Mus musculus: one gene and its partners. The protein of the gene in region 4 interacts with the protein of the main gene of each other region in a pairwise test. Links are inferred from orthologs where the notes say so. Each region holds a gene or a part of one and is shown on either strand. Other genes may lie near its edges.

Region 1 (3,967 bases), on a different chromosome or scaffold from region 4:
TGGCACATACCCATCGCCCCAGGGGAAGAGGAATAGGAAGGTGTGGTGGCACATACCCATCGTCCCAGGGGAAGAGGAATAGGAAGATCAGGGCTCTGAGGCCTGCCTCAGCTACAGAGAGAGCTTCAGGTCCCCCCTGAACTTCATGAAACCCTGAATTAAAGAAATGAAGCCAGCCCAGTGTGATGGTGCTTATTTTAATCCCAGCACTCGGAGGTGGAGGGCAGGGGGGCACAGAGGCATGTATCTGTGTGAGTTTGAGGCCAGCCTGGTCTACCAAGTGAGCTCCAAGCCAGTCTGGACTATACAGTGATACCCAACCTCAAAAGAAAGTCAAATAAACAAGTAAGCAAAAATAACAACCAGGGCTAGAGAGAGATGGCTTTAATGGTTCAGAGTACCAGAGTCTCATCCCCGACACCTACATCAGACAGCTCAAAACTGCTTGTACTCTCAGCTCCAAGGGCCTAGGATGCCTCTAGCCTCAGCATGCACCCGCACACATCTGCATAAACCCAAATACAATCTCACAGTCACACAAACACACATGCACAAATAAAAAATAAATCTGAAGAAAGGCTGGGGATGTAGTGAACCACACCTTTAATCCCAGCATTCGGGAGGCAGAGGCAGGCAGAACTTTTTTGGGTTGAAGGCCAGCCTGCCTGGACTACAGATTGAGTTCCAGGACAACCAGGGCCTCAGAGACCTTATCTCACAAAACAAAACAACAAAACAAAACCAACCAGGGCTGAGGATGGCAACTGATTACAAGAATGCTAGCCTGCCCTATCCCTTGAGAGACAAAGGCAAAAAGATAAGGATAAGGTCATGAAGCCAGCCTGGGCTACATGAGACTCTGCCTGAAACACAATCAAACAAAAAAGACCGATAAATGGTTTCCTTTGAGAAACAGGTGAAAACTGAGGCTAGCCTTTTCTCCTCTTGTAGGCTGGCATTTTTACCTCTTTGGAGTCTGCTTGGGAAACACCCCCTCCCTTATTGCTTCAGGGTCCCAGGGTCCTATGGCAAGTCCCCTCCTAAAGCTATTGTCAGAGCACCCACTCACCCAGAATGATGACAACCGTCTTGACTAGGCTGAGTGTGGTCTCTCGGTAGCGGGGATGGCAGCTGACGTGCTCCGCCATGCGTTCCACCCGTCTACGCACATAGAAGAAAATTCGTGTGTAGACAGCTACCATGAGTAGGAAGACAAGCAGGCTGGATAGGGCCCACGCAGCCAAGTAGGAGCGGCTGAACAGGGGCACCATGCGTGAGCAACTGTCCAAGTCACAGAGGCAGTGCCAGAAGTGTGCAGGTAGCAACCCCAGACCCAGTGCAGCCGCCCACACACCCACGATGAGTGTGACCACACGGCCCCGGGGCAGGCGGCTGTGTAGCTGTACCGCCATCACACTGCGGTGCCGTTCCACAGCGATGGCCAGCAGTGTGGCCACTGACGCCGTGAGGCTGGTGTCCAGCAGGCCCTGTCGCAGGAACCAGCCTTTGATGGAGAGCCTGGCAGTGCGTGGGCCAGTATGGAACATGAGGAAGAGGTAGGCCATGCCAGCGAAGAGGTCAGCCGCAGCCAAGTTGCCAAGCAGGTAGTATATGGGCTGGTGGAAGCGTCGGTTGGAGGCGATGGCTGCAATAACCAGCAGATTGGTCAGCAATACCAGCACACTGACTGTCAGCCCCAGGGCCACCACCACCACATCTTTGGGGCGCCAGTGAAGGCTGAGCTCCTTGCCGCTGTTATTATAGAAAAAGCCGATGGTCTCGTTGTAGTAGCACTGGCCCATGATGGCTGCCTGTGGATACAGAAGACAGATCAGTGCAGGTGGCCCCTGATGGAAGGGCACTTGAACAAAGCAGTGGCCAGAGACTAGAATCAAGATTGGGTGAGTGCAACCTACAGGATCAGAGGCCCTCTGTGCAAGAAGTCTGTGCTGAAGGCCAAAGTGACCTTTAAAAAGCAATTTCTATTTATTTACTCATAAAGCAGGGTCTCTCGATGCATCCCAACTGACCTAGAACTTGCTTTGAGACCACACTGGCCTCAAAATCAGAGATCCACTAGCCTCTGCTGAATGCTGGCATAACAATTTAAAACGGTTTTCTGATCGGCTTTTCTTTTCTTTTTTAAATCTTAAGAACCCAGAGCAAATGCATCCACATTGCAATTCAGTGCCACGTGCCACTAATCCGTGACTGGGTTGGACACCTGTGGTTTTCAATGGGCGTGGGTGGGTTGGCTGGGGCAGCACAAAGGCGGAGTGAGCTGCTGGGGTTAGCCTTAAGAAGATCAAACTTGTGCCAGGGTCCTTGCACAGTGCAGAGGCCAGGGGGTGTGTGCACACCAGAGCGAGGTCCGTGGTCAACACCCGGAGGGCAATGCCAAGGCACTGAGGGGACTTAGCGCGAGCAGAGTAGACAGAGACCGCCCAGAAGTTGAGTTACAGGCAGGATTCCGCGCAAGAGCTCTGAAAGCAGTCCATTCCTGGGTGGGACTGAGGGCCAAGAAGGCCTCCAGGACAAAAGAGGGTATTGCAGACAACCCTGGGCTAGGAGAAGGATTGTGGAGAAGAGGGGGCCCCGCCTCGCTTTCTTCGGTGGCCTGCACCCACCCTAAACCGGTTGGTGTTGGTCTTACCTGCACATCCAGTCAAGCGGCAGATGGGGCTGGCTCGCGGTGGGTTGAAGCAGGACTGAGACCCATGGCCGGGCAACCGAGCGGTTGCGCAGCAGCGTCCGGTGTTCCTGGAGCCCCCGGCTGAGGAGGCGGGAGAGGCGGGACCTCAAAGCCACGCCCCCACCTGCCTTAGCTCTTGGCCCTTGGGGGTGTCCCGCCCCCTGGAAAGTCCCACCCCCACGTCGGAAGTGTGATCTCCTGAAACTGTGGTCATTTCACCGCCTCCCCACAGCCCCCTTTTCCCACGTGGGGCACCCTTTCTACTCCCCCCCCCCCCCCCCCCCGCACATCTCACGTGCTTGCCCTTTCGCGCCTTTGGGGCTGAGTCACCTGGCAGTTGAAAAGATCCACAGCGGGGGGGGGGGGGGCTCTGCGGGCGCCCCCCCCCCCGTTTCTGTCCAATCCTTTACCGAGCTGCAAGCCCCGCCCCACTGTTCCGTGGTCAATCTCCCGGCTGGACCCTCGCCCCACTGCTGCCGCACTACCTTGCTTCCCGAAGTCTCGCCCCAGCCTGCCGCTGGCTCGAGCCTGCAGCAGCCTCCTCCCCTGACCTCCCCCGGTTCGCAGCACACAGCCCCATTGTCCCGATTATCTGCACCGAGTTGTATTTGATTGTGTAGAACCGGATCAGGGACACTGAGCTGAGTGACTCATCTTGGGCTCCAGGCCCTACACTAATTGCCAGTAGGTTTCCCAGGGTGTGTTTAGAAGCCTTGGTTCCATCATCTGGCCCTTAATAAAGGGTTAAAGACGCTGCTCTTACTGGTGACTTATTGTCAGCATTCCAGCACAAAGACAAATGTGCAAGAACAGACAAGATTTATCTTATTTTATTTTGTTTTTCTGAAACAGGGTTTCTCTGTGTAGCCCTGGCTGTCCTGGAACTTTCTCTGTACACCTGGCTGGCATAAAACTCAGAGATCCTCCTGCCTCTATCTCCTGAGTGCTAGGATCAAGTAGAGGTGTGTGGCACTACCGCCCAGCGGATTTTTTTTTTTAAATTAAAATTTTCTTTTATTTGTGCATGTGCACAGGTCAGACAATTTGTAGGGATGGGCTCTCTCCTTCCACTAAGTGGCTCTGGGAGGTCCAACAAATGTGAGGCTTTACAGCAAGCACCACTGCGGTCAGCCCTCCTGCCGGCAGCAGGATATGGTTTTATTTGGAGGTTGTAAGAACACAGATTTAGCCAGCACTTGGGAGGCAGAGGATTTGTGGCTCACAAAGGGAGCTCCAGACCAGCCAGAGCTACACAGTGAGACTTAGCTTAAAACA
Region 2 (3,982 bases), on a different chromosome or scaffold from region 4:
GCCTCCCGTCCCTCCCAGCCTGCTAGTCCACAGGCGGTGCCCTTTGGTTGGATTCTAGTGATGGAATTCGGGGCTGAGGAATGGCGCCTGGGTGTGCTGAGCCTCTGGATAGAGGAAATCTCAGCAGGGATCCTGCGGGATCCACCCACTCAGCAGGTATTCACTGAACAGAGCCGCTTTCAGCCCCCCTAGGGGGCACAAACCCACACAAGTCTTCAGCTACACAGGTGGGGCTCCAAAGCCCTGGGTGGTGGTGGACCTTGGCAATCTGTGGGTCCCTACAAGTAAGGGGTGTTGCCCCCTCCCTAGAATGGCCTAACCACTACCTGTCCGTTTAGCAGGGACAGGCGAACTGAAGTACTTAACAAAAGGGAGGTTTCAAGATAACACAGGGTGGGATGGAGCTGGGAGTCTCTGGGCTTGCACAGGAAGTGTAGACACCCCCCCCCCCACACACACACACACTCTCTCTCTCTTCACAGATCCCCGACCCCCAGACGCCTTCATAGTGTTCCTGGCAAGTGTGAAATCGGCACCAGGCCGGCTGGGACAAAGGCCACTAAGGGGGACACTGTACATGTGATACCCCCTGGATTAAAGGGGCCTGCCGTGCAATGAGCCAGCAGCTGCGGCCAAGAACAGGTGCTGGGCACCGCTGCCCCGTGCACCTGCTCTAACCCTGCAGGCCCCCACCCCCTGGGCTACCATTAAGACACACAATGGAACTCCTAGAGAACTGGGTGGTGCATTTCAAGGAGGGTTTTGTCTGAGCCATGCCTTTACATCAAAACAAAGTCCCTGGGGGGTGGGGGGTGGTCGGAGGCAGCCTAGGACCCTGAGGGCTTCAGCTCTTCCCCAAAGTAGAGCCCCACAGCTTAGCAACCCAGCCGGAGAGAGGCAGCCTGTTACACTTTTATAGGTTAAATCTGAGGCAATCCGTGCCTGGGGGGGGGAAACGGGTAATCTTATTCAAGTAATAAAGGTGTCAGTGAGACCTGCAAATACCTCCCTGCCACCCCCAGGCCTCACTGCCCCAATGCTGGCCACCACAAGAGACGCACAGCTCTACCCCAAAGCCTGACACACTTTCCAAAGAGCAGCCCAACCGGAACCCCCACCAAGCCTGGCTGAAGCCTTCCCTCACTTCTAGAAGCTTCCCACGTGGCCCAAGGCTGAGAGGACAGCAAAGTCATGTCTTTGTTTCTCTTCTTAAAAAAAAAAAAAAAAAAAAAAAAAAAAGATGTGTCTATTCTATTCTTGTCCTACATGGATTGGTATGTTGCCTGCATGTATGTCTGTATGAGGGTGTCAGGTCCTCTGGAACTGGACTCTTAACAGGCAGTTAGTTAAGTTGTGAACTACCATGTGTGCTGGGAATTGAACTCAGGACCTCTGGAAGAGTAGCCAGTGCTCTAACCACTGAGCCGTCTTCATAGTCACTGGGAAGTCATTTCTTAGTGGCACCTGCACCTAGCACTTCACTCTACAAAGACCCCACGAAGTGTTCTCTGATACATTTTAGAAACGAGGAAACTGGGGAAGTTCTCGACTCAGGATTCAAGGCCAGGTGCAGAATATCCTGTCTAGCAATATCCTGTCTGACTTCTACAGTGTGGGTTGAGCCCGGATAGGGAACACCTCTTCACTCCTAGCCTCGAACAGCAAGGTACAGAATGGAGAACAACCAACATCTACTTTGTCCACTGCTTGGCAGCCTTAGGAGTAAGTGTTGAGTCCCCCCAGGGTCTAAGGCCAAACAGCCCAGACTCAGAGCTCAGCTATGCACACTCACTCACCAGTGTGGGTGCGGACGTGGCCCTGAAGCAGCCAGGGCCTAGAGAAGGCCTTTCCACAGGTCGTGCAGACACAAGGCAGCGTGTGGCTTCGGATGTGCATCTTCAGAGCGCCCAGGCTGAGGTACTCCTTGTTACAATATTTGCAGTTGAAGATCTTCCGCGACTGGGGGTCCTTGGCCACCGAGAGCCTGGCCAGCTGCTTGGGAAGTTGGCCCAAGCCAGGGAAGGCGATGAAGGCCTCGGCCTCCAGGGAGGAGGCCGAGGTGGACGAGAAGGACGACGGCGCCGGCGAGGGCGGGCTGGGCGGCTGGGAGCTTTTGCCACTGTCCTCATCGGACAGCGAGGTCAGCTCTACGGCCTTGGGGCTCTCCCGCAGCGGGAGGGTGGCCCAGGCAACCGGCCGCACTTGGGGTACCAGGAGAGAGTCCCAGATGAGGGTGGGCAGCGAAGCGGCGGGGTTGAGGACCTCGGGCGGAGGGATGGCGGCCAGCAGGTGGGCCTGGTCGTAGGGCTGCTGGAAGGTGAACTCTGCGGGAAGAGAAGAGACAGCAGGGAGTCAGCTGAGCGGATTCTCGGGGCGCCAGGTGGGGGGGCTTCCCGCCCGCCCCTCCCCTCCCCCGCCCGGACTCCGCAAAGCTACCCCCGCCTTCGAGTCTTCAACTCCCGGAGCCTCCCCGTCCCGGGTCAAAGACACCCTCGGTGGATCCCAACTGCCAAGACCCGGAGCTCCAGATCCACCTGTCGCGCCCGCAGAGCCCGATTCTCACCTCCCCCCAGCACCCTTGGGATCCCCCCCAGCCGCCCGCGTCCCGCACCCCACCACGCACCCACACACGCGTCCTGCAGCTCGCTATAGTTGGGCTTCCGGCGGGGGTCGGACGGCTTCCTGACCAGGAAGGAGCGCGGCATGTTGGCCAGAGCGACCTAGGTAGTCGGGGTCACCGGGTCGCGCAAGGTCGGTAGTCAACTCCGCTCGCGAGGCCCGGCCGCACACTACGATCCCCTAGCAGCAGCAAATTCCTTTAAGTACCAGGGCTGGGGGCGTGACCGTACTGTTGGTCACGCCCCTTTGTCAAGGCTGAGCCAATGGCTGGCGGCGGCGCGGCCGGAGACTGAGACCGGAGCAGGTGCGCCTGGGCTGCTGGGGCTCCCGCCGCGTGGCGCTGAGATTCCGCTTGGGCTCCTCCCGGACCGGACCGCGCGGCTTCCGAGCTCCTCGGGCGACCCCTGGTGGCCGCGCCTGCCCCACGACGAGCGCGGTGCCCCGCAACATCCCCGAGCTGCTGACCTTTGGGCGCTGGGGAGCCAGAAAGTGCGATGATATGCACGCGCTTAGGGGTTCCTGGAACTGTCTACACAGCCCTGAACAAAACACTACCCAGGGATGCCCTACGCAAGGATGGCTTCCCGGCCGTGGGAGAGAGAGACAGACAGAATAAACAGAGGATTCGAATACTAAAGGGAGGTGTGATTTGATGAAAGGAGGTGGGGAGAGACAGCTGTGACTGTCAATGAACGGTCACCTGACAGGGGAGGGTGTCTATGACTTCCTAGAGGAAGTGAAGAAGCACCGAGGGGAAAGGCCCGGGGTAAGAATCAGTAACTTCTGCCTGTCCAACCTTTGAGAGCAGGTTCCAGGATGAGGTTGGTGTTGGGCAGACCCTGAGGGGTCCGATTTCCTGGCCTCGGGTCTTTGGAGGAGTTTGGACTTTGCCTTACAGGCACTGGGGAGTCACGGAAGGACTTTCAGCTGAGGACGGACGTGTTTAGAGTTGCATTGTGAAACACCAATAAGGGCAGGTGCGAGGCAGAGGTAGCAAGGACCAGGGCTAAGGCTCCCGACTTCCTGAAAATCGTGTTGGAACGTTCACAGGGAGGAAGGGTGGCCTCGGAAACCAAACCCACACCCCCATAGTATGGGGTTATAAACACCTATAAAGCAGAGGGTCTACGGAAACCTCTGGGGCACCAGCTAGCATCGAGTCTCTAGGCACTGGAGGTAACAACAGGGAATAGAATCAGACTCCCAGCACTGGGGGTGGGGGGTGGGGGAGTGGGAGGATGGTCAGACAACAGGCAACCATCGTGGAGAACACTGCCCTCTGGGTAGATTTAGTTCATCCATGAGTCTCCCTGAGTCCAGAGGGAGAGCACACAGCGCCCCACCACCACCCTCGTCCCAACGG
Region 3 (4,106 bases), on a different chromosome or scaffold from region 4:
TAAGAGCACTGACTGCTCTTTCAGAGGTCCTGAGTTCAATTCCCAGCAACCACATGGCGGCTCACAACCATCTGTAATGGGGTCGGATGCCCTCTTCTGGTGGGTCTGAAGACAGCAACAGTGTACTCACATACAGTAAATGAATTAAAAAAATACTTTCAGATAGGAAACATCTCAGTGATTCTAACCTTTCTTAGGCCACAGGATTGTTTTCAAAGGATAAATAAAACCATTAGTGTGTGCATAACATCCCAAGAACTCCTACCACAGAAGGCTAATTTACAGAAAACAAAACCAATGGCAAAGGGGGCTGGGTTGGATGCTGAGAGACTCTCACCTCATGGAATGCCCTGAAAACTGCAGCAAAACCACCGTCCAATCTGGCTGCCATATAGATCAGACTCAGCTCTTCACTGTAGCTGTCAAACAACAACAACAACAACAAGTCAGAGACTCCCCCCTCCCCCACTTAGGAAATAACCTAGCCCCAGTTACCTTCTAAAGTTTATGAAACAAAAAATCTGAAACGATTCTTCTGGTTAGTCCTTCCACTTTCTAGTACAGAAGACTTCAGGAGGCTTTCTCAAACGCAAAGCTGACTACCTCTTCAGCTCTCCTCACGTGTAACATGCCTTCTTTGTACCCTTTCTGGAAGACCGTACCTGAGTTCCTGCCAATGGTAGGTAGTTTTGCGCAGGGCATGCAGTACTGCCTCACGAAGTTTCTCCTCTGTGGGAGCTGAGTCTAGGGTGAGAAGAACTGGAGGTGAGGACTTAGGAGAACGGCTTAGATCCCGTGAAGTACACGCCTCCCAGCCTTCCCCATTCCTGTCTGAGAAAATGCTCAAAGTCCGAGAAAGGTCAAAACTTCAGGGAAGAGGGATAAGACTGATGACCGCCACCATCACCAGAGTATCAAAGACTTTCCAACACTATCTTGTCTGTATATTATCTACCTAATAGTATCTAGACTATTAGAATAGTAGTTTAGTCAACTTAACCCATCCAAGTTTTGCGTCATAGTGAGCAGAAGCCTGATAAAAATGATTTTTTTTTTTTAAATATTTACTTCTTGTGTGCATATAGGTCCGAGTCAGTTCTCACCTTCACCCATTTGGTAGAAGGTCATCAGGTTTGGTGGTGAGTGCTTTTTTACTCTGTACCATCTCTCCTGTCCATGTGATAAAAATAAAAGCCAGGATAAGGGCACTTTTATAGACTTTTTCACTCTCTGACACTTAGGAGTGAGACATCTTCAATATTACCATAGAAAGGGGCTTGAAAATCCAAGTCTCCGGACTGTGTGGAGCTCTGTACCACTGGGCAAATTTCTACAAACACCTACAGTAGTGGCTTGAATGACAATGGCCCCATTTGCTCCCCAATGGCTCATCCGCTGGAATGCTTGGTCACCAGGGAGTAGCACTACGTGAAAGGATTAGGAGGTGGGCTTTGAGGTTTCAAAAGGCCATGAGAAGCCCAGAGTCTCGCTCTGTTCCTGCAGTTCCCGATGCAGATGCAGAACTCTCAGCTATTTCTTCAGCACCATGCCTGCCTGCATGCTGTCATGCTGACAACCGACTAAACCTCTGAAACTGTAAGCCAGCCCCAGTTAAAAGCTCTCTTTTCTAAGAGTTGCCGTGATTATGGTATCTCTTCAACAATAGAACACTAAGACACTACCCTGAACCAGGTACTGTGGGACGTGCAGGGAATACAAGAATAAAAGGCAAATTTACAATATGAAGTCCATAGTCTTAAAAATAATCTGAAATGTAATAATTTTCTATCCGAGGTGGGGTTTCGTGTTTACTGAACTGCCTGCCATATGGCCTTTACTTACCTGAATCAAAATATAGTCATAATCTCTTTGACTTGCAGCGGTGGAGGGGAAATTTTTTATAAAAAAACCCGAAAGACCAAAACTTCTGACCTTTACCCAATCTCCAAGGGCAACCTCTGGCCCAACCTACCTTCTTAGCAGGGCATCATCTAGTAGGGCTGTTACTACAGCATCAAATGAGAAACAGCAGTATTTATCTGAGAGATTTAAATTATTCTTTGATCCTAATTTCTCGTTGACATTTTAATCTGGTTTGCCTTTTAGTTTTAAGCCCTACCTTGTTTTTCCAGGAATTTTTTCTCAAGATACGCAGCCCGTCTTTGCAACTCCTCCGGCTCTACAGGTAAATGTCGGCTCCAGAGATAGTTGGTGAGTGCTTGCACCTGCTTCTCTACACTGCGCATGGGTCTCTCTGTGGTCACAGATGGAAAGGGTCATCGCTGCGTGCTGGCCTCGTTTGGTTTTATCTGGCTTCCCCTTCCCGCAGTTTCTCACCAAAAAGCATTAACTGTGCGGCGTCAGCCAGTGCTTGCGGCAGCTGGACGTGCGGAAGATGCAGGATGCCGGGATGCTTTCGATGGGGCTTCTTCCCCAGGAAATCCGACCCGTTGTCTACCTGGGACACACCGGGCACAAGGGCGGCGTATGCCTGCAGACAGCGAAAGAAACAGAATGGTTGCAGGTGCTTGCTGCCCGAGGCATCGCCGAGGTCGCTCCTCCTCCGAGAGATGTCTCTGGAAACCCAGTTCTCCGCCAGCAGAGGAAGATGCACTTACTCGGGACTGGGGTCCTCGAAGGCTGCGGCAGGATCTGCAGAACAGCAGCAGAAATCTCGGTGTCCTGGCGGTGGCCATGGCTTCAGGACACACCGGAAACGGAAGTACACATGCCTGTAACCCTCAGCCCAAGCAGCTAAGAGCATCTTCCGTGGAACTTCGACCCGGACGGTATCAACTAATGAGAAGAGGGAGTATTTGCTAACAGCCAATAAGCGACCTTATGTACCTTATGTACGTCTCTGCGAAGAAGGCCGTTCGTGGGAGGGGCTTAGCCTTCAGAAGGGGCGTGGTCTCAATGCTGAGCGTGGCTGCGGGCGAGACCAACCCGGCTTGGGCGTGTTTTGTGATGGGGAGGGATCAGTCTCACGGGTTAGGGGGGGCTAGTGGGGTAGGAGGGAGAGGGGTTGGGGGAGTAGGGAGATGGGGGCGGCGTGGAGGGGGAAGCAGTCTCACTGGGGTGGGGAGATAGAAGGGGACGTGGGGGGGTGGTAGGGAGTGGGACTTGGGAGGACAGAGGCGGGGGCAGGGCTGGGCGGGGGTGGGGGCAGGAGTGGGGCTGAGAGTGGGGTAGGCAGGTGAAAAGGAAAGTGTGGACTTTCTTTGTTTTCATTTGGTGCTGTAGAATTCTGAACCGTGGCTAGTTTCCCTTTGTGAGACGGGACAAGACCATAACAAAAATCAGATTTAGGCAGTCAACGATGAGCGCTAATAACTATTACAGTTTGCAAATTAATAAATATAAAAATTAGCTTACTTTTTTTTCACATTTGTTGTCTGCGAGTTTGCTCCAGGTTTTCTATCAAGAGCTTCCCACGTAGCACACCGAATTCCCGCCATCTTATTTCCACAAACATCTGTTGCTAACTTAATTTTTCACGTGGTTAATTTACCCAAGTTCATGAACTTAATAGGTGATAGCTGAATTAAGTGCTAGGGAGTCGAAAGTCAGAGTTACATTTTTAAACAATGCACCGTACTGGGTATTGTTGGTCCTTGAAATGCAAATGGAGAATTTTAAGCTAAATGTTCGAAGGGTTAATCAGTGTGTGTGTGGGGAAACAACAACAACAACAACAAAACCCCCCAAAACCTGGGGCTGGAGAGATGGCTCAGCGGTTAAGAGCACTGATTGCTCTTCTAGAGGTTCTGAGTTTAAATCCTAGCAATCACATGGTGGCTCACAACCATCTGTAAGGGGATTTGATGCCCTCTTCTGGCCTGTGGATGTATATGCAGCAGAGCACTCATACATCTTTAAAAAAAAAAAAAAAAAAGACTCATGGACCTGTAAATTCTTGGGTCCCGGCAGCAGTACTTTACCCAGCTGTGGTTTCCTCTTTAGCCTCTTGGGGGCAGAAGTTAGCTGACAGGACGAAGAGTACTCTATAGTCTTCAGTCCAATTAGAAAAGTTACAGGACCATATATGGGTATCTGTGTGAGCTGGATTCTTAGATGCTTGGTTTGTCTTATGTGGGTAGTAGAGG
Region 4 (2,043 bases):
ATGCACCGAGCAGGTCAGCATCGTAAGTAAACATAGGATCCGAGATGATGCCTCCCTCTGGAGAATGGCATGGAAAATTGAAATCGATGAGCACACCAGGTATATTTGTTCCTTCTGGAGCAAGACCAAGATGAAGAAAACAGGCCACTGGCATCTGGCACTGTGGTGGCTGGTGCAGCCCAGATCTGCGACACCACTTCTGCTGTTGTATCTGGCATCAGAAGTCTGAAGGACTTGAAAGACCAGCAGAAATCCAATCATCTGAGACATCCCTAGCCTACAGTAAACAGGTTAATTTATGTAACAACAACAATAGTACAGGATGAGAGTTAATAAAAGATATGCAGGATCTCATTATGTAGCCCCTCACTGTCCTGGAACTTAGTATGTAAACTAGGCTGGGCTCAAACTCACACTCTGCCTCCGCCTCCTGAGTGCTGGAGTTCAAGCTTTCACCAGCCTCATCCTGTGAGACTCCAATAAAGAACAGACTTGGAAGTGCTTTTAAATGCTCCAGGGATTATTATTTCATGAAGAGAGGAAGAAAAGACAGCATTTGATGGCAAACACTAAGGGTAGATGTTGGGGGAAGTGACGGACGGACGGACGGGGGCTGAGATCCCAGCAGGTACTTCTCAGAGCAGTCAACAATCAGTGGTGACAGTGGCTGAGAGCTCTTGGATACGCCAGGCGCTGCAAGCCTTGCACAAGATGTGCCCATCCAGCGGGTAGCAGCCTTGACACTCTCCCTCAGAGGACAGCAGCAGCCCACACTCCTGTGAGAAAGAACAAAACCTTCATTAGCCTGGGACTTTCCCACAGTGCTTTTCCCCCAGCTTCCCGGGCTCTGCAAAGCTCTCGCTCCTGCCCAGGGACCCCCCCTCACCTCACACTTGTAACAGCCGATGTGGAAACTTCGATCCAGAGCAACAATTCTCACCGTCTCCTCCTGACCTGGTTCCGGCATGATGGCCCCACCACACACTGAGCATCGTGGGGCAAATTTCCTGCAGTGGAGGGGAACCAAAGAGGCTATCAGGTCCCTCCCTCCCACACCATCAGGAGACTCAAAATGAAGCCCAATGAAGGTGGAAGGGGCAGGGGTGGGGATGAGAAGGATATAAGAGATGTGTCTGGGTCTTGGGGAAGAAAGTGGTGTCAAAGAAAGAGAGCACCAGAAGGTGGAAACAGAAGAGGCAGACCCTGGGACATGAAGAAATAGGTCAGTGAAGACATGCTGAATCCAGGCAAGACCTGTGGAAATCTTCAATGCAGTGGATCTGGCTGGTGGCGTCCACTGTGAACGGGATGCCATCAAGACCACGGTGGCATACCACACAGGTGAAGCAACCAGGGTGGTACGCCTTCCCCATAGCCCTCAGGATTCGGTCCAGGATGGGTTCAGAGCATGTGGAACATTTCTCCAGGGTGGCCTAACGAAAAAAGAGGAAGGAAGGTCAGTGGAGGGAAGCCACTCCAGCCAGGAAGGAGTACTCTCTGCCCAGCCATCTGGTGTGTGTAGTTCCCTGCATGGGATTCAGTGGAAGGTGGACTTAGCATTTCTGAGGTCTAAGAGCAGCACTGAAGCCTCTAGACAAGGGATTTGGTCTCCACACACTTCATCTTTCAGTGAGATGAATCAGTAATGCCTCTGAGGAATGCTGTCAGATTTTCACAAATAACCTCAACTCTAAAATGCCTTCCAGCTGGCACAGTGGCACATATCCGGTTTCCTAGCTCTTGGGAGGCTGAAGCAGGAGAACCATAACTTTAGGATCAGCCTGGGCTACACAGTAAGACTCCGTCTGGAAGGAAGGAAGGAAGGAAGGAAGGAAGGAAGGAAGGAAGGAAGGAAGGAAGGAAGGAAGGAAGGAAGGCAGGCAGGCAGGCAGGCAGGCAGGCAGGCAGGCAGGCAGGCACCCACCCGCTTGAAAGGAGGAGCTGTCTTTCCCTCCTTCATCTAGTCTCCACAGTTAACTCATTCCTTAGCCTGGGGCCATAGCTCAGTTGGTAAAGTGTTTGTCCAGCATGCACGAAGCCCTG
Region 5 (3,927 bases), on a different chromosome or scaffold from region 4:
ATCAGGGCTGGAGTAAGTGTACAGAAAACTAACACCACAGACAGTATCTATGATGAGAGAGGCAGACAGGCAGGAGGCTTCTCAGCCTCAGCTTTATGTGGAAGGTGGCGTTCAAGCCAATTTATTTGCAAAGCTGCTAAAATATTGACTGATGCGTGGCCAGTTAGAGGACAATCAGAGGAGATTAAATGCCACAGCTAAGCTGTTATGGTGCAATCCCTTTCCAAGAGTTCTTGCGCATGTTTTTTCTTCTCTCTGGTGGCTACCTCTAGCTTCCCCTGGCATAAGCTTCATTCAAAAATAAAATAAAAATAAAAACCCTCGGCTATCAAACTGTCTTAGCTACCCACCCACCATCAGTAAACCAGAGGGTAGGCTTAACCCAGGCTTCTAGGAATGGCAGGGCTCTTCATAAAGCTGGACACGGTTTAGCAAACACTATTGCAAAAAAGTAACCAGCTGCGCCTAAAAATACCCAGCATGTAACTACCTTGTTGCCTACGATCTATAGCAGTGCTGTTTAAATATTAAGAAGAGCTCGCATTATAAAACAGAAATGTCACTGAGATGACACTACTAGGTTGCTACAGGGAAACATAGGGCATACACACATTCCCCTGCATACCAGGCAGAATGTGAGGTGAGAACTCTAAAGCATTACTTTTTATTCTGTAGGTGGTGTGGGGTCTTCTAATTTTACTAATTGTATCCTGTGGCTCTCTCTCTGACAAACTAAGAAACCTCTTCGGGGACAGAACCAGTTTGGAGGAGTTCCTACTGCACAACATACGGTAAACAAAATAAAAATAGCTTGCCTTTCTTGTTAGCCACATAGCGCATTATATAACCAGCTTCCGACTGGCTTCTTTTTTTTTTTTTCCGCCCTTACTACTCTTCAGCAATTTCCCAACCTTCCCCAAGTATTTATATTGCCCTCTTATCTGTAGGATTATACAGCAAGAAAGCAAAACAAAACAGGACAGCCACGGGATCGAACTAAACCCCATCCTCTTACCCCTGATCCTCCCCCCACCCCACCCCCCGCGCCCCTGGCAGAGTCTAGATACAGCACCCTACTTCCACCCCCCACCACTAAGGTCCTTGCTCAATCTCCCTAGAAAACCTGAATTGTTTCACCTCTTGCAGTCAGCTCTCTACGTGGTCTGAAATAAAATGAAAGCGCACAAGCCACAGAGTTGAAGGAGGCGGCTCAAGAGAGGTCGAAGCGCTGCAGAGTCAACCAAGGGACCACCGTGGACCCCCACCCCCACTCCCCGCTCCCCATCGCGATGGTCCTGGTCCCCGCCCGGCGCGCGAACACACGCACACACGCACCTACACACTCACACGCACTTACTCCCTCCTCTCCGACCCCGCCTCACCTCTCGCTCCGCCCGTCCGGCCCCTTCCCTGCCCCCTGCGGGACCGGCCTGCGCGCTCGGCTGCAACCACGTAGGAGGCGGCGGCGGTGGCGGCGGCAGCCCTGGCAGTGGCAGTGGCGGCGACTCGGGCCCCGAGTGAACGAGCCGCGGGGCTCCGGGGCACATCCCAATCCCCGCAGCGCCTCCTCCGCCGCCACCTCCTCCTTCCCCTCCTCCCGTCTTCATTCACCCTCTCTGCCGCCGCGCAGCAGAGCAGTCCCGGCGCAGGGCAGCGCCCGCAGCTCCTCCGCTACTGCTGCGGGCGCCGGCAGAGTCGCCGGGCCGGGCTGGGGCGCTCGCGGGCTCCCGGCTCCAGCTCCGGCGGTGGCGGCGGCGTCTGCTGCTGCTGCTCTGGATCAGGAAGCGGCCGCACCAACAGGGCGGCGGTGGCAGCTGCAGCTAGGGCCGGTCTTCTCCCGCTGCGCTGCGATGGCCCGCGCGCCCTTGCCTCCTGAGGCGCCACCTCTCCGCGCCCCTAGCCTCACGCAAAGTCCCCTCTTGGTCCCCTCGTAGCCCCGAGAGGCTGGCCTAGGCGGGGAGACCCCAAGCTCGGGGTTGCCTCTGTCAAGCTAGGCGACCCCGGGCGGGGAAGCCCAGCCCTCCCTCGAGCCCCCGCAGCGCTCACCGCCCCCACCCGGGAGGGGGGACTGGAGAGGAGCGAAGAGGGCAGCGCGACCCTCCGCGGCTGCCGCCTCCCCCTGCGCCACACGGAAGGAGGAGGACCGGGCTCTATCCGCTCGCCGCCGCCGGACCGGCAGCAGCCGAAACGGGGCGCCGCCGTTCTCCCCACCCGCGCCCCCCGCCCGGGCGCGCCCCCTCTCCTGGCGGCCGCCCACCCAGCCCCTATCTGCTGCCCTTGCTAGCCGCTCCTGCTCCCAGAGGGGGTCCCGAGCCGGGAGGCTGGAGCCGGGCACTAGTGTATGTACACACAGTCACACATACACTCGCGCGCGCGCCTGCACACACACACACACACACACACACACACACACCACGACGCGTCGGTTTCCTTCGCTCCTCTTCCAGCTGTTTTCCGTGCAGCCCATTGAGACTGGGGGAGGGGGGGTGTATGCTGGATGTTCTTTGGCCCCTCTCCGGAGAGAGCAGATTGGGGTGCGGGAGGGGGTGATTTTAATCTAAATCGGGGTGGAAGGGGGAGGGGGAGAGAAAGAATCAGAGGAGGAAAAAAAATAGCCACTTACTGTAAAGTGTAAATGGATCTGGGGTTGCGTGGGGAAGGGGTAACAGAGGGAGAGACACAGTGTCCTGCGGCTGCTGTAGCTCTAGCTGCGGCTCCACAGGGCTTGTTTTGGATCCCCCTGCAGTGAAACAGGTCCTGTACGGCTCCTCCACTGTAGTAGAAATGATGTCTGCGGTATACTCTGCTCTCTCCTCCTCCTCCTCCTCCTCCCCCCTCCCCTCCCTCCTCCCTCCGCCCGCCCTCCCTCCCTCGCGCTCTCTCTCGCGCTCGCTCGCTCGCTCCAGTATGTAAATGTGTAATAGAAGCCAAATATGGAGCAGTTGGCTGCCGCCGCCGCAGCTCAAGGATCCGACTTCATGGGGGGGGAGGGGGGGGGGAGGCACCCTCTGGCAGGCGGCCCGGCGAGCCGCACAGAGCACGGCGAGCGCACGGCGCGGCTGCCGGCCCGCGCCCTTAACCCTTCTATGCACCCGGGCTGGAGCGGCGCTCGCTCCAGGGGAGGCCGGGTTGTCTCTCCGCAACTGTGGCTCCGGATCCCCGACACCGACCGGAGGGGACTGTGCCTTCCAGGTTTGAGAAAGGGGCGGGGAAGTTGGGGCGATGAGGTCATTGGAGTGGTGACCGATCGGTGCTCGCGCGCCTCCCCGGCTCCCTGCAACCTAGTTGGAGGGGGACAGGGTGAGTGCAGGGTGCAACTCAGGCAACCTGGGAGACTCGCAGCGACGGGTGTCAGGATTTGGCTCCTACTTGGTAAAATACCCAAGGGGGCGGGGAAGTCGGCTGATTTCTAATTACGAAGTGCCCTTGGTGCCCCCCGGGTGAGCATCTAAAGAGGACTCATTGTATCCTTACTGTTAACCCTCCAACCCGCCAGCCCTGCGTCATCCGAGGCAAGGCCCGCGCCTGCTGCCTTGGCTTGCAACTCGGGAAAGTTCTCAGGCTTCCCCAGCTTGCACTGGCACCCTCACCTTTCCTGCCTGGACAAGCTGGCGACCTCCCGGTCCTCCTTTCAAATTCTGCTGGTCTCGAAATCTGCTGTGGGCATGGAACGCCTCAGCTCTAGCTAGCCCTGGTAACCGACCTCACTCACTCCTCAGGGCTAACTGTGGATCATTCATTTCATCGCAAGCGAGGTAACCTGTGCACTGAGCAGTCAGTCGATGGTGGTTCTCGGGGAAACCAAGCGAAGGAACGCTCCCCCACCCACCTTGTCCCGGTGGCTAAACGCAGACGTGGACTCCCCACCCGGCCCCCTCCGGCTACACCTCAGCCAAGCGTAAGCTCGAGGGAAGAACTCTTCTCTGG

Evidence for each region. The genes of interacting proteins can lie anywhere in the genome.
Region 1: the proteins of Trip6 (region 4) and Lpar2 interact in a two-hybrid assay, tested with the Homo sapiens proteins (2 studies listed by BioGRID). The link is inferred for Mus musculus from reciprocal best matches to the Homo sapiens genes TRIP6 and LPAR2.
Region 2: the proteins of Trip6 (region 4) and Snai1 interact in binary tests that used the Homo sapiens proteins (3 or more experiments, as listed by UniProt). The two-hybrid records come from large-scale screens. The link is inferred for Mus musculus from reciprocal best matches to the Homo sapiens genes TRIP6 and SNAI1.
Region 3: the proteins of Trip6 (region 4) and Mettl17 interact in binary tests that used the Homo sapiens proteins (3 or more experiments, as listed by UniProt). The link is inferred for Mus musculus from reciprocal best matches to the Homo sapiens genes TRIP6 and METTL17.
Region 5: the proteins of Trip6 (region 4) and Atxn1 interact in binary tests that used the Homo sapiens proteins (3 or more experiments, as listed by UniProt). The link is inferred for Mus musculus from reciprocal best matches to the Homo sapiens genes TRIP6 and ATXN1.

Annotation. Positions count from the first base shown.
Region 1 is NC_000074.6:69,821,398-69,825,364, reverse strand, and holds the start of Lpar2 (lysophosphatidic acid receptor 2), read right to left. Parts: upstream 2,801-3,967; 5' UTR 2,654-2,800; intron 1,812-2,653; 5' UTR 1,803-1,811; coding exon 1,070-1,802; intron 1-1,069. UniProt on the Homo sapiens protein: Receptor for lysophosphatidic acid (LPA), a mediator of diverse cellular activities. Seems to be coupled to the G(i)/G(o), G(12)/G(13), and G(q) families of heteromeric G proteins. Plays a key role in phospholipase C-beta (PLC-beta) signaling pathway.
Region 2 is NC_000068.7:167,537,013-167,540,994, reverse strand, and holds the start of Snai1 (zinc finger protein SNAI1), read right to left. Parts: upstream 2,801-3,982; 5' UTR 2,706-2,800; coding exon 2,624-2,705; intron 2,325-2,623; coding exon 1,797-2,324; intron 1-1,796. UniProt on the Homo sapiens protein: Involved in induction of the epithelial to mesenchymal transition (EMT), formation and maintenance of embryonic mesoderm, growth arrest, survival and cell migration.
Region 3 is NC_000080.6:51,883,536-51,887,641, reverse strand, and holds the start of Mettl17 (methyltransferase-like protein 17, mitochondrial precursor), read right to left. Parts: upstream 2,801-4,106; 5' UTR 2,697-2,800; coding exon 2,619-2,696; intron 2,492-2,618; coding exon 2,338-2,491; intron 2,255-2,337; coding exon 2,120-2,254; intron 745-2,119; coding exon 663-744; intron 420-662; coding exon 338-419; intron 1-337. UniProt on the Homo sapiens protein: Mitochondrial ribosome (mitoribosome) assembly factor. Binds at the interface of the head and body domains of the mitochondrial small ribosomal subunit (mt-SSU), occluding the mRNA channel and preventing compaction of the head domain towards the body.
Region 4 is NC_000071.6:137,309,399-137,311,441, forward strand, and holds the end of Trip6 (thyroid receptor-interacting protein 6), read right to left. Parts: intron 1,434-2,043; coding exon 1,255-1,433; exon of another isoform or gene 1,203-1,254; intron 1,008-1,202; coding exon 887-1,007; intron 777-886; coding exon 645-776; 3' UTR 501-644; downstream 1-500. UniProt on the Homo sapiens protein: Relays signals from the cell surface to the nucleus to weaken adherens junction and promote actin cytoskeleton reorganization and cell invasiveness. Involved in lysophosphatidic acid-induced cell adhesion and migration.
Region 5 is NC_000079.6:45,962,192-45,966,118, forward strand, and holds the start of Atxn1 (ataxin-1), read right to left. Parts: upstream 2,801-3,927; 5' UTR 2,624-2,800; intron 2,435-2,623; exon of another isoform or gene 2,414-2,434; intron 2,194-2,413; exon of another isoform or gene 1,383-2,193; intron 1,247-1,382; exon of another isoform or gene 1,138-1,246; intron 1-1,137. UniProt on the Homo sapiens protein: Chromatin-binding factor that repress Notch signaling in the absence of Notch intracellular domain by acting as a CBF1 corepressor. Binds to the HEY promoter and might assist, along with NCOR2, RBPJ-mediated repression. Binds RNA in vitro.